3 linked regions of the Xenopus tropicalis genome follow. The main gene of each other region encodes a partner of the protein of the gene in region 3 in a complex. Links are inferred from orthologs where the notes say so. Each region holds a gene or a part of one and is shown on either strand. Other genes may lie near its edges.

Region 1 (4,164 bases), about 110 Mb from region 3:
GGCGAGTGTGTTAGTTACTGACGGCGAGTGTATTAGTTACTGACGGCGAGTGTATTAGTTACTGACGGCGAGTGTATTAGTTACTGACGGCGAGTGTGTTAGTTACTGACGGCGAGTGTATAGTTACTGACGGCGAGTGTGTTAGTTACTGACGGCGAGTGTGTTAGTTACTGACGGCGAGTGTATAGTTACTGACGGCGAGTGTATTAGTTACTGACGGCGAGTGTATTAGTTACTGACAGTGAGTGGGTTAGTTACTGACAGTGAGTGGGTTAGTTACTGACGGCGAGTGGGTTAGTTACTGACAGTGAGTGGGTTAGTTACTGACAGTGAGTGGGTTAGTTACTGACAGTGAGTGGGTTAGTTACTGACAGTGAGTGGGTTAGTTACTGACAGTGAGTGGGTTAGTTACTGACGGCGAGTGTATTAGTTACTGACAGTGAGTGGGTTAGTTACTGACAGTGAGTGGGTTAGTTACTGACGGCGAGTGGGTTAGTTACTGACAGTGAGTGGGTTAGTTACTGACAGTGAGTGGGTTAGTTACTGACAGTGAGTGGGTTAGTTACTGACAGTGAGTGGGTTAGTTACTGACAGTGAGTGGGTTAGTTACTGACAGTGAGTGGGTTAGTTACTGACAGTGAGTGGGTTAGTTACTGACAGTGAGTGTAAAGAGACCCCCATAATGGCTGCCTGAGTGGAGGCGGGGGGGGGGGGGGTGGATCAATAAAAAGAAAGTCCCAGCTCCCGGGAGGCGGACACTCACCCACTTGCTCAGTGAATCAATGTCGGAGCAATTTGGATCCGGTTTTCACTCTTGTGGTTTCCCAGTCCGTTTTCGGTCTGCGAACTCCGCCATATTGCTACACCCAAATACTGGCCTCAAGCAGCCCCTGCCCCAGGGTAAAGTCCAGCCCGCCGGCTCCTAACAGCCCCGGTTTGGTTGCCTGTGGCGCTTTTCACGCTCAGAAGAAGGAGTTGGTGTCGCGCCTCACTGTCAGTCTGACTCCCATGCACTTCGCTAAGCTCATTTCCGTGTGTAGCAACATGGCGGCACTCTAGCGTGCCTCAGCACGTAACCAAGCGACATCCAATCACAGTCTGGCTTTGTTCAAATCCTAACGCAGCTTTGCTATCACCGCTTTGATTGGCAACATTTTAAGCCAGTAAATGGCCGCGCCCTGGCAGGTAGCCAATGGGCTTTCTACGTAAGGTTATGTTTCTCCTGAGCTGTGTAGCTGCCGCATTGGCCGGTAGGGGGCGCTGGGACACGCCTTGCAGGAAGATGGCGTAAAGGCACTGCCCGTTGTTTTGGGGAGGAGATTAAGTGGAGGAGCTGTTTCCGGGTGTTGACGGAAGTTCCTGTCCAAGGGTGAAGATGAGCGGGACGGAGACAGCGCCAGACTCTCTATCTGCTATTGCCTCAGTCCAGCCCGGTCCGGCCCCAGAGAGTAAGCCCAGCCCGGCAAACATTCCCAAACCCGGGCCTGCCGCGGCCTCTGCAGCTGCTCTACCCGGGAGGGACACGGGGGAGCGAAGAGCCAGCGGTGAGCGGCAGCAACTGAACCGGAGAGGGAGGGGGGGGTACTCACAGGGGACTGGGACTCCAGGAAAGGCCTGGGGAGAGAAACCCAAGCATGGAGGGGAAAGGGAGAGCCGGGGGGGCAGCTGGAGCAGAGAGGGGCCCGGGGGGGGCAGCTGGAGCAGAGAGGGGCCGGGGGGGCAGCTGGAGCAGAGAGGGGCCCGGGGGGGCAGCTGGAGCAGAGAGGGGCCCGGGGGGGGCAGCTGGAGCAGAGAGGGGCCGGGGGGGGCAGCTGGAGCAGAGAGGGGCCGGGGGGGCAGCTGGAGCAGAGAGGGGCCCGGGGGGGGCAGCTGGAGCAGAGAGGGGCCGGGGGGGCAGCTGGAGCAGAGAGGGGCCCGGGGGGGCAGCTGGAGCAGAGAGGGGCCCCGGGGGGGGCAGCTGGAGCAGAGAGGGGCACCGGGGGGGGCAGCTGGAGATGAGAGGGGGCCCCGGGGGGCAGCTGGAGCAGAGAGGGGCCGGGGGGGCAGCTGGAGATGAGAGGGGCCCGGGGGGGGCAGCTGGAGCAAAGAGGGGCCCGGGGGGGGGCAGCTGGAGATGAGAGGGGGCCCCGGGGGGCAGCTGGAGATGAGAGGGGCCGGGGGGGCAGCTGGAGATGAGAGGGGCCCCGGGGGGCAGCTGGAGATGAGAGGGGGGCCCCGGGGGGCAGCTGGAGATGAGAGGGGGGCCCCGGGGGGCAGCTGGAGATGAGAGGGGGGCCCCGGGGGGCAGCTGGAGATGAAAGGGGTCCCGGGGGGCAGCTAGAGAGGAGGGGGCTGTCATAGCTGAGAATTGCCCTTTGCTAGGGCAGGGGGTAGGAGTGGTGCCGGGGGTGAGAAGGGGAACGTATGGAAGGAGCTGGGTGAATGGACCTGTTTCGGGGCAAATGGTGCCCACTGGGTTGTACAATGGGGAGTACAGTTTGGGGACAGATAGGGTGGGGGGGTATTTGGAGAATTGGGCGCAGGTAAGTGCCCGGCTGTGTGACTATTGCCCAGTCCTTTCCAATTCCAATGTATGTTCTGTTATTGATCCTCCAGTCCCTGCATCAGCGGCTGCTGCCCCCTCCGAGGGATCCCTCTCTAATGGCGTGTACCTGCCCCCGGGGGTGGCAAATGGCGATGTCAAACCTGTCATTTCCACTACCCCCCTGGTGGATTTCCTGATGCAGCTGGAGGACTATACCCCTACGGTAAGTGTCCCTTGGGTCTGTATGGGAAATGCTGTGCCCTAGGGTACTGGGGGGGGGCAGTGCCAGGCATTTGCCCCACCTTACACAGTGTCAGGGTGCAGCTTGTGCCTACAGAACATCATTTCTCTGTATGTATGTATATCTGTTGGTGGGAGCTGCCATATTGTTTCCCTGTATCATTGCTTGTATCTGTTCCAACATTTGCTTTACATTCCTTCTCCCGATTTCCTGCAGATCCCAGATGCCGTCACTGGATATTACCTGAACCGGGCCGGGTTTGAAGCATCCGACCCACGCATGTAAGTACAACTCCTGCTGCCATACGTTATTGGCCCGTGGGTACCGGAGCTTCTCAGAGCCCTGTAGCAGTTGCCTCGACTAGGAAGAACCTTCCCTTATTCTGGCCAGCCTGTAGCGCTAGGTTATGGGCCGCCGTGGCCAGTAGCCGTTTGCTCTGTGCCTACCAGGAGAGCTGACAGTCACGCTTATGGCCACAGCAACTGGAGGCCTAAATAGGGGTTAAAGTGCCCGTTCTGGTGCTGCCATTCCGTTATATGTATTATCCCTCTTTATTATTGTTTATCTTGCTTTCTAGGAACTGTAATGTAATTGGTGGAGACTCGTTTGGTGAGATTGCCAAATGAGCGGATCTTCTCCACCTACAGTGGGCAATACCGGGCTAGGGCCAAACCATCGCAATGGCAGATATCGGTTGGGTAGGCCCGTCGGGGGGTGCCCATACACGGGCAGATAAGCTGCTGAATTGGTCTGAAGGACCCGAATCGGCCCTTAAAGGAAAAGTAACACTAAACATTTTTAACTAAAAAATCTATTCTGCCCTCCCCCAATAATTGCCCTATCCTGAAATCCATTTGTTATTGTGAATGCATCAACTATGCGGTGATCGACTGATCGAGCCTAGCCTGACTCATTCCTATATACAGAAGTCAGGGGCTAGATCAGTCGATCACCGCATAGTTGATGCATTCACAATAACAAATGGATTTCAGGATAGGGCAATTATTGGGGGAGGGTAGAATAGATTTTTTTAGTTAAAAATGTTTAGTGTTACTTTTCCTTTAACCCTAGCAACCAATCAGAGTTGCTTTCATTAGTCTTACTGCAGTTATCCAATCAGGCCTGTATGGTGATTACTATGAGTTCAGCACAGCATCTGTATTGACTTCGCTTATTTTGAATTTCACACCGGATCCTCTCGATCTCTGTAGTGATCCGCTGACCCCACCGCTTGTCTCTCCTAGAATCCGGCTGATCTCCTTGGCATCTCAGAAGTTCATCTCTGACATTGCAAATGACGCCTTGCAGCACTGTAAGATGAAGGGGACGGCCTCCGGGAGCTCTCGCAGCAAAAGCAAGGTACCCCGCCAGCAAATGCCCTTCAGTGGGGCTATTGTGC
Region 2 (4,299 bases), on a different chromosome or scaffold from region 3:
TGGGTGTGAGAGGTACAGTGGTACAGTCTAGGGTGGTATATGGGTGGTACTGTCTAGGGTGGGTATGAGAGGTACAGTGGTACTGTCTAGGGTGGGTGTGAATGGTACAGTCTAGGGTGGGTATGAGTGGTACAGAAATATGAGAGTTCTGTAGTGCACATGCCCTTGCCCAAGCCTGGCAGGTTATGCCTGAAAGGGGGTGGGGTTGCTGAAGCAGGTAAACTAAGTGGCTGGAATCCCTGAGGATGCCTAATAATATTTACTACTACCAGTCATTTTACTTTTCCTTCTCCTTTAAAGCTGGGCAAATTTTAGATTTGCTTCTTTGGCCTTGAGCTGACCAATTTGATTTGGAGCCATTTTATCTAGTCTAATAGTTTCTACTATTTTCTAGCTCATTCTGTAGTGCTACAGCCTAAACTCAGCAATAAACCTACGGCTCCCTGTACTGTTGAGGCATGATCTTACTGAGTACAATGGAAATTAGGCACTAAGTTATGTACATAAACCAACCTTGTGTTGTGAAACTAATTTGTGCGTTTAATTGGTTCCTCAGAGAAAAAGGTTTAGGGGCACATATAGCAAAATTTGTATTATTGTACTACAAAATCTCAGAATTTAGATATAACAAGGCTTGATTATTACATCTGAATGAATACGTTTATGGTTTTTATAGCTTCTTAGGGCTCTGGCACACGGGGAGATTAGTCACCCGCGACAAATCTCCTTGTTCGCGGGAGACTAATCTCCCCAAAATGCCATCCCACCGGCGATTCAGTGAAATCGCGGAAGTTGCCTTGAGAGGAAACTTCCGCTATTTCACTGAAATCGTGCCGCCACGTATGCCATCCCACCAGCGAATGACATTTTCGCCGGTTGGATGGCATTTCGGGGAGATTAATCGCCCGCGAACAGGGAGATTTGTCGTGGCGACTAATCTCCCCGTGTGCCAGAGCCCTTAAGAGATTTGGAGAAACTAAAACCACACGCAGGTCATTTTACAAATTTTGCTTGAAGGAATCCCATTGTGACATCTGCAAGTGTATAATTTGACTACACCATTTTAGTATACCTTTTTTTGTCATTTCAAGCAATTTGCTGCTGCTAATATTATAAATATCCCCTACATCTTATCTTTTTTTTTTTTTTACTTTATTTGTTCTTTTAAACAGTCATCTAGTTGTTGGGTCACTGATTTATACAGTAGGATTAATAGCAGATTAGCTTCATGGTGTTGTCTTTACTGCTTGCTATGGTCACATAAGGTTGTCATACACTTGCAGGTTCTAGCTGCCAATTTAGTTCCTTCAGACCAATTTGGCAGCTTATCTGCCTGTGTATGGGCACCCCCAACACGGATCGGGGACCACATTGGCTCGTTGTTATGGCCCTCTGTCCTACTGTTAACTTATCACATTTACCAATACAGGTGCTAACTGCTGAATGTAAGCTATGTTTTAATGTTTTTTTTTTTTTTTTTTTTTTAACTTCTTTTTATAGGATTTTTGTCTGCTGCTGGAATGGTTTATTTTAATTTGTAGGAACAGCACACTTTGTTTTATTCTTAGTGGGATTTCCAATTAACGCAACATGGATCAAAACAACAGTATACCCCCTTTCCAGGGGTTGGCATCACCACAGGTAAGTGTGAACCCTTTTTTCCCTTTTACCACAATTCCCCCTCCATAAAATAAAATGCCTTTAAAAGCATTGTAATATTCACTTCATTTGCACTTTCTAAATTGGGGGGTATACGGTATACCGGGTGTGGTTAATTTGGACAACAGATACAATACTGAAGAATGAAAAAATAGAAGAAAAACTTGAGACACAGGCCAATATGCTTCCAACTGACTTAGGGGGGAAATGCAAGTCAGCAGCCAATATTGGCTTCAATGCAAATGTTTCTCTTGCTGGGGCGCTTGTCGTAATAGGTGGAGGAACGCCATCCTGAGGGCTCTTGAACACAAAACAGATGTGTTCCGTTCTCATTCATGCATGTGAATGAATATAGAGCTGCATTTCATCCTATGCTTCCTTGTGGTGGAAAGGAGAAGAAATCCAATTCGGGAGACTGCAGGGTGAAAACACCTGTGTGTAAGAGCCCTTAGCTTGTCCTACTCCATGTGCAGGGCTATACCATAAGATTTTCATTAAAGAAATCCCCATGTACTAAGCCCATTTTAACTTGTGATTCAACTTGTGTGTGGGTTTGAGAGCAAATTTGTTATAATTTTTTTTTTTTTTTTGTCTTTTATTTCTGTAGGGTTCTCTGACTCCAGGGATTAACATTTTCAGTCCGTTGATGCCCTATGGAACTGGTCTGACCCCTCAACCTGTACAAACAACTAACAGTTTATCAATATTGGAAGAACAGCAAAGACAACAACAACAGGCCCAGCAGTCTACATCACAACAAGGCAATCAGGGGTCAGGCCAAACCCCACAACTGTTTCACCCACAGACTCTTACCACAGCACCTCTTCCAGGAAATACACCCTTATACCCCTCCCCAATGACTCCCATGACCCCTATTACTCCTGCTACCCCTGCATCAGAAAGTTCAGGAATTGTTCCTCAGCTACAGTAAGTCTCATCATCCTGGGGGACATTTTGCAGATATCATTTGTCAGATTATCTGTATCTGCACACTTGTCAACAAATCCTTATGTTTGTCTGTACATTTCTGTAGTGCCATAGAGCATACAACTCTGCAAATGGTAAATATTAGATATACAGGAAATGGAAACATATTCTGGCATATTTTAATTTTAGACAGTAATGACTTTATTTGTTATACCACATTTGAGTGTGGCCTGTCAAAATTAAAAGACCTTATCTTTGTTTTACCTTTGGTACTAATGAGTATTTTAACAGTGCTGCATTACCTTTGTTTACCCTGTGAGTGTTACATTTGTTTAAAAAAAAAAAAAGCTACATTTCTTAAAAATATAGGAGTCCATATTAGATTTAAAAGCTACCAGGCCAGGGGTGTGTGTATATATTAGGTCTAGAAACAGATGCAGACGGTTTCCTCATTTCAGACTTTTACACCACATTCTTGAGACTGAATTGATGTCATATTTAAAGTGAAACTTTATTGAGGGAGAAAGACTTGTCTTGATATGTAATTTAGCATGTACAGTAGTATCCTAGTTTTAATGTGTCCTATATCTGTCCAACATGTGTGAAAAATAGAACAAGTAAAGAATTGGGAAATTAAAATAGTTTAGCACTTTTACAAGTACTAATAGTGCAAATTTTTTTTTTGTAATACTTTTTAAAAATTTCCCATGGGGCTAGCCATGTTCATTTCCCAGGGTGCCACAGTCATGTGACTTTTGCTCTGATAAAGGTCAGTCACACTTTACTACTGTGCTGCAGATAGGAGTGATATCATCATCCCCCTGCAGGCGATCAGCAGAACAATGTAAGTTAGCAAGCTAGCAGCTCCCAGTAGATATCAGAACAGTACTCAATAGTAAAAAAAAAAAAAAAATTCAAGTCCAGTAGCTCTGGCTCCTTCTGAAAGCTCAGACTCGGGCACAATGCACTGATCTGGCTGCCTACAACTAAAAAATTACTTTTGTTGGTTTAAGAATAAAATTTTAAATGGTAAATTATTTGCTATGTAAACAGTAATTTAGAAATATAAGTACACAATAAAAATTAATGACTGAATACCTTTAAATACAGTGAGCAAAAATATTTGGATTTGTAATAACTGCTTTTACATTGTTCAGGAACATAGTGTCCACTGTAAATCTTGGCTGCAAACTGGATCTGAAAACAATTGCACTTAGAGCGCGAAATGCAGAGTATAACCCTAAGGTAAGACAAAAGCCTTTGTTGTATCTTATTCACCTAATAGTTGCTTTCACTGTGACAGACGGGGAGATTAGTTGCCACGTGACAAATCTCCCTTGTCGCGAGCAACTAATCTCCTCGAAATACTATCCCATTGGCTGGAATGTAAATTGCCAGTGGGATGGCATAAGCATCGCCGAAGTTTCCTCTCAAAGATGCCGCGTATGCCATCCCACCTGCGATTTACATTCTAGCCGGTGGGATGGCATTTCGGGGAGATTAGTCGCAACTAATCATCTCGTCTGTCACAGCCCTAAATATTCTTATCTATCTGTAAAAGTCATTCAGGAGAACACACTGGTGCATTGTATGGCACTTAATTCTGTAAATGTGTGATGAGAAAAGGATTTCCTGTTTGTAATTTTGTCCTGCCATACCCACTGGGCATAGTATTTTTATGCTGGCCTAGAAGTGGCATGAGGATGGGTTATC
Region 3 (4,154 bases):
TATTATAACAAAGAAAAATCAGATATAAAAAAATAAAATTATTGGCTTAAAATGGGAGATGGCCTTTCCATAACTGGGGGGCTTTCTGCTGGCATAACAACATACAATGAAATTTAACTGGTAGCTAAATATTTTGAGATTTTATTATGCAAAAATTATTTGCAGCACAGATAGGAGATAAAATCATTATACAGTGTTCCTTGGTTACCCATGGTAAAAGAGATTAAAAAATCCTAAATTACAAACATTAAGTAGCGCCTGCACGTGCAGTATTTAAAATAACAAACTTTATTAAACACAAATTGCACTTACAATTGTAGGAAACATAAAAAGCGTTTCTGTATTATATACAACTTCTAGCACCTCAGTACAGGAGACAGTCTTTTTGACTGCAGCTTGATTTCTAAAAGAGCTGGAACAAAAACTTTTCCCTTTGTACCTAAGTAAATTAGAGACAAAAATGACATGTTAATGACATGTTCTAAAACACCTCAAACACACAAAATGTTAGCAGCCAGCTGAGACCTACAAACAGGCCAGAGAAAGACCTGAAAAATACCAACTAACAGCCCAACTCCATGCAGAAAGAGGTGGACAGAAAATGTAAATTTACTGACAGATAAGCTTGTTAATGTAAAAAATACATATGCCCTTTTTTATTATTGTTGCCCCCACACAAACGTTCTTGATGTGATTGTGCTTGGAGAATGGGAGTAACATTTCAATACAATAGAAAACTTGGAAATAGAAAAGTTGGTGTAAAGTGCAACAAAAAAATATTATATATAAAACTGGGCCATTGAATATTTTAGTTTAAACACATTTCAATAAATATTAGATATGTTATACCAAACTAAGCAAAAATATTTAATAGCACAAAGTTTGGGAGTATAATACAGATTTTGCAAGGTTACATTGGCATAGTCAAAACTCCATTAATAACAGCAAAAGCATAAACCAGTACAATTGGCATACATTGAAAGGTATGGCTGAAGACAACCAGGGGCCTTAAATCAAAAATGGGATGATTAAAGGAACAGCTTTCTTTACTGATCAGTAACTCCTATAAAATACACAACACAAGAACATTTGTTACAAACGGGCATACCCTTTTGCACACAAGAACCGCAGGACCACCATCTTGATCCAAAGGGAGCACTTGCCTTCTCCATTAAAGCAGTTTATATTAACTTTTAGTATGACTTAAGCAACATTCCGAGCTAATTTGCTATTGGTCATATTTTTAAGGTTTAGAAAATTTTAACCTCACACAACAAATTTTTTTGGTTGCTTGAGTTAGTGAACTGCCTCTTTCTGCAGCAACTGAGACCTTCCAAGACATTACCATTGTCATACTTCACATGTGAATAAGCAAAGTTGAGTGACATACATTATGATACTTTATGACTACATATCATATCCCAGGGCCTCCTGAATGGGACTCACAGAGTTTGGTCTAGACTTGGCTCCCTGCCTCAGAGCTGTACAACTATACTCCTAAGACTGCATACTTCCATTGTTTTCCATAAATATGGATTTATGTAGCTTAGTTATGTATACAAGTAACGGTCTAGTACAAGTTTTTATTATAGAGAAAGATCATATGTTTTTTTAATTACAGCTATGGAACCTGTTATCCAGAATGCTCGGTCTGGTGTTTTATGGACAAGGGGTCTTTGCTTAATTTGGACCGCTATACCTTAAGCTTACTAAAAAATAATTTAGACATGAAATAAACCCAATAGGTTTGTTTTACCTCCAATAAGGATATCTTAGCTGGGATCAAGTACGTAATTTGGTGCTGACTACATAACTTTCCAGATAAGGTTTCCCATACCTATATACATACTTACATACACTGAAATCTAACTGGTATCTGAATGTTTTCAGTTTTATTATGCAAAATTTAATTGCAGTACAGATAGTAAACAAGATATTATAAAGTGTTCCTTTGTACCCAAGCCAGAAGAGATGAACCAATCCTAAATTCCAAACAAAGTAGAGCCTCTGCATGCTGCATTTAAAAAATAAATAGAAACTTTATTAAAGACAACGTGGACTGAGATCATACAACAGGGAATGAGATAGTAAAGCTATCATAGCTCCCCTATCCATTTTAGGGGAAATGGAAAAATCCTAAATTAAAGCAGATAAGTACAATATCCAATTGGCATTGTTTGCAAATTGCATATATCATACGTTCCATGTAATGTAGCAGTGAAAGGTCACATAGAAAGCTTAAGGGACATTCCCCCCAAAAAAATTCGTAGGAACATTGTGCTTGTTATTTCCATGCAGCACTGGCAGAGGAGGCAAACTAGACAGTGCAGCAGAGAAATGGACCAAATGTTCGTGACACTGAAGCAGCCCCCCATCTAGATCTGCCCACTAGTGACTAGCTACTTGACTTTTGCATGGAGATTTGTTGCATTAGAATGTGCCTTCGGCGAGCCAGAGAGGAGACAAATGGCAGAAGATAGGGGAATGGAATTACTTGTGTGGTTTTTGGTCATTTTTACTTGTTTGGTGGCACATATGTGACGTATTTAAGCCATATTCCATGCCGATCTCTGAAGCTCTAAATTAATAACATAATTCTGAAGGCTCTACTAGTTAATACATCATCAGACAGTTTATTGTATGTTTATACATTTAACATATCCACCCATTAAACTTAAAATAAATCCGCCACAGTGTCTTTATTGTAAAAAGCCCCTAAACTGGTATAAAAACATTTCAAACGTTTACTCGCATTACCATTACGAGCGTATCAAATAAAGTTCCACAGGGCAGCCATCTTCCCTTTTCTTTTCAGCGCTACCATGTAAATATCGCCATTAAAAAGAAAAAAAATAACAAAAGGAGTCATCCAATCCGAAGGCACGGCGATTGTTGCCCTGCGCTTTCCTTTCTGTCTTCATGCGTATGCGACGTCGTCGCGTACGCATTAACGTTAAACGTAATCGCCGATCACGTGACATCGCCGATCAATACAATCGCCAGGAGCTTCGCTTCCTGTCGTCTATAACATACCTAAAACCTCAGTTGCGCACACAAATTCTACAAATATTACATCGTAAGTATCTAAGGGGCGCCTAAATCATCTAAATACATGTCAAAAGTCATCTACCCTTAAGCCTCATGTGGACACTTTTGCGAACATGTATTATAAGGTTATAAGATCCCCTCAGCTTACAAATGCCTCACGAACTAACGTGTTTGGTTGTCAGACCATTTTTTAACGTTAGTCTAAGGACGTCTTTCGGCTGGCTTGTTATAATTACAGGGATCATAGGAAAGTTACAAAAGCACTTTACTTAACCCACGAAAGCAGAAGTGGAAAATTGCTGTAAATAATTTGTGCTGTAAATAAAATGTTTATCATGCAGTGAGCAGAAATTTATTTATCGTGCATGAATGGTACTAATAGCAAACAACTGGTGAGGGCCTTTTCATGTGAAGTACTTTTTAAACTTTTCTACATGGATATGAAATAGATATGGTTTTAACTACATATTGCTTGTGACAATAGTGATGTTGGTATATAACACATATTAGCAACAAGTCAGCTGAAAAACACTGTGAGACTATTAGCAGGTTACCATGACAGCCTTCTATATTGACCCAGTTTGCCACAGTATAAGTCCCTGCATTCGCTGTAGGGTATTTTTCAGTAGCAGCATACACCCTCCATTATAAATGACATGCAGAATCTAGATACAATAACTCTAGTGAGTTACATTTTAACCCAAACATCATGCTGAGCACAGCTGTATCCAGCATCATGGTTGGGTTCAACTATAACTCAATCCTCAAGTCCTTCTTGCACTAGTGTGGCATATAATAGCTCTCTGAAATACATAGACATTCTCTTATTTGATAGACTATATACAATCCCAGCATTGCTCTGTTATAAACCAAAGAAAAATTGGTTGAAATGCATTTTTGTTGTGTATGATACACATATGTATACTGATTAGTGATGAACAAATGTTTTCGCTAGACGTGGATTCCCAGCGAATTTGGCAATTGGCAAATTGTTTTGCAAAACTTCCGTGAAAATTCACTGCAGAAAAATTTGTTGCGCAGAATTTTTTTTTGTGCGTCAAATTGGGCATTGTTACAACAAAAAAGGGAGCAGGCGCATCAAAATT

Evidence for each region. Proteins that work in one complex are often made in the same cells at the same time.
Region 1: the proteins of taf8 (region 3) and taf10 are in contact, whole or in part, in a crystal structure (PDB 4WV4), measured with the Homo sapiens proteins. The link is inferred for Xenopus tropicalis from reciprocal best matches to the Homo sapiens genes TAF8 and TAF10. Residues at the interface, in NP_612639.2 of Homo sapiens: Arg33, Thr36, Leu37, Val40, Ser43, Leu44, Leu45, Ala48, Gly49, Phe50, Glu51, Ser52, Ala53, Glu54, Ala56, Ser57, Thr60, Leu61, Met64, Leu65, Gln66, Tyr68, Ile69, Ser70, Ile72, Gly73, Arg74, Ala76, Lys77, Cys80; in NP_006275.1 of Homo sapiens: Pro115, Leu116, Phe119, Leu120, Leu123, Tyr126, Thr127, Thr129, Ile130, Pro131, Val134, Thr135, Tyr137, Tyr138, Leu139, Ala142, Gly143, Phe144, Glu145, Ser147, Asp148, Arg150, Ile151, Leu154, Ile155, Leu157, Ala158, Ala159, Gln160, Lys161.
Region 2: taf8 (region 3) and tbp share a complex: the UniProt entries of both Homo sapiens proteins name them as parts of the TFIID basal transcription factor complex. The link is inferred for Xenopus tropicalis from reciprocal best matches to the Homo sapiens genes TAF8 and TBP.

Annotation. Positions count from the first base shown.
Region 1 is NC_030678.2:177,470,375-177,474,538, reverse strand, and holds the start of taf10 (transcription initiation factor TFIID subunit 10), read left to right. Parts: upstream 1-1,364; 5' UTR 1,365-1,375; coding exon 1,376-1,544; intron 1,545-2,595; coding exon 2,596-2,747; intron 2,748-2,981; coding exon 2,982-3,046; intron 3,047-3,976; coding exon of another isoform or gene 3,977-4,009; coding exon 4,010-4,124; intron 4,125-4,164. UniProt on the Homo sapiens protein: The TFIID basal transcription factor complex plays a major role in the initiation of RNA polymerase II (Pol II)-dependent transcription.
Region 2 is NC_030681.2:50,706,182-50,710,480, forward strand, and holds the start of tbp (TATA-box-binding protein), read left to right. Parts: upstream 1-1,499; 5' UTR 1,500-1,590; coding exon 1,591-1,641; intron 1,642-2,266; coding exon 2,267-2,586; intron 2,587-3,743; coding exon 3,744-3,831; intron 3,832-4,299. UniProt on the Homo sapiens protein: The TFIID basal transcription factor complex plays a major role in the initiation of RNA polymerase II (Pol II)-dependent transcription.
Region 3 is NC_030678.2:70,731,924-70,736,077, forward strand, and holds the start of taf8 (transcription initiation factor TFIID subunit 8), read right to left. Parts: upstream 2,801-4,154; 5' UTR 2,758-2,800; intron 440-2,757; 5' UTR 328-439; coding exon of another isoform or gene 313-327; intron 1-312. UniProt on the Homo sapiens protein: The TFIID basal transcription factor complex plays a major role in the initiation of RNA polymerase II (Pol II)-dependent transcription.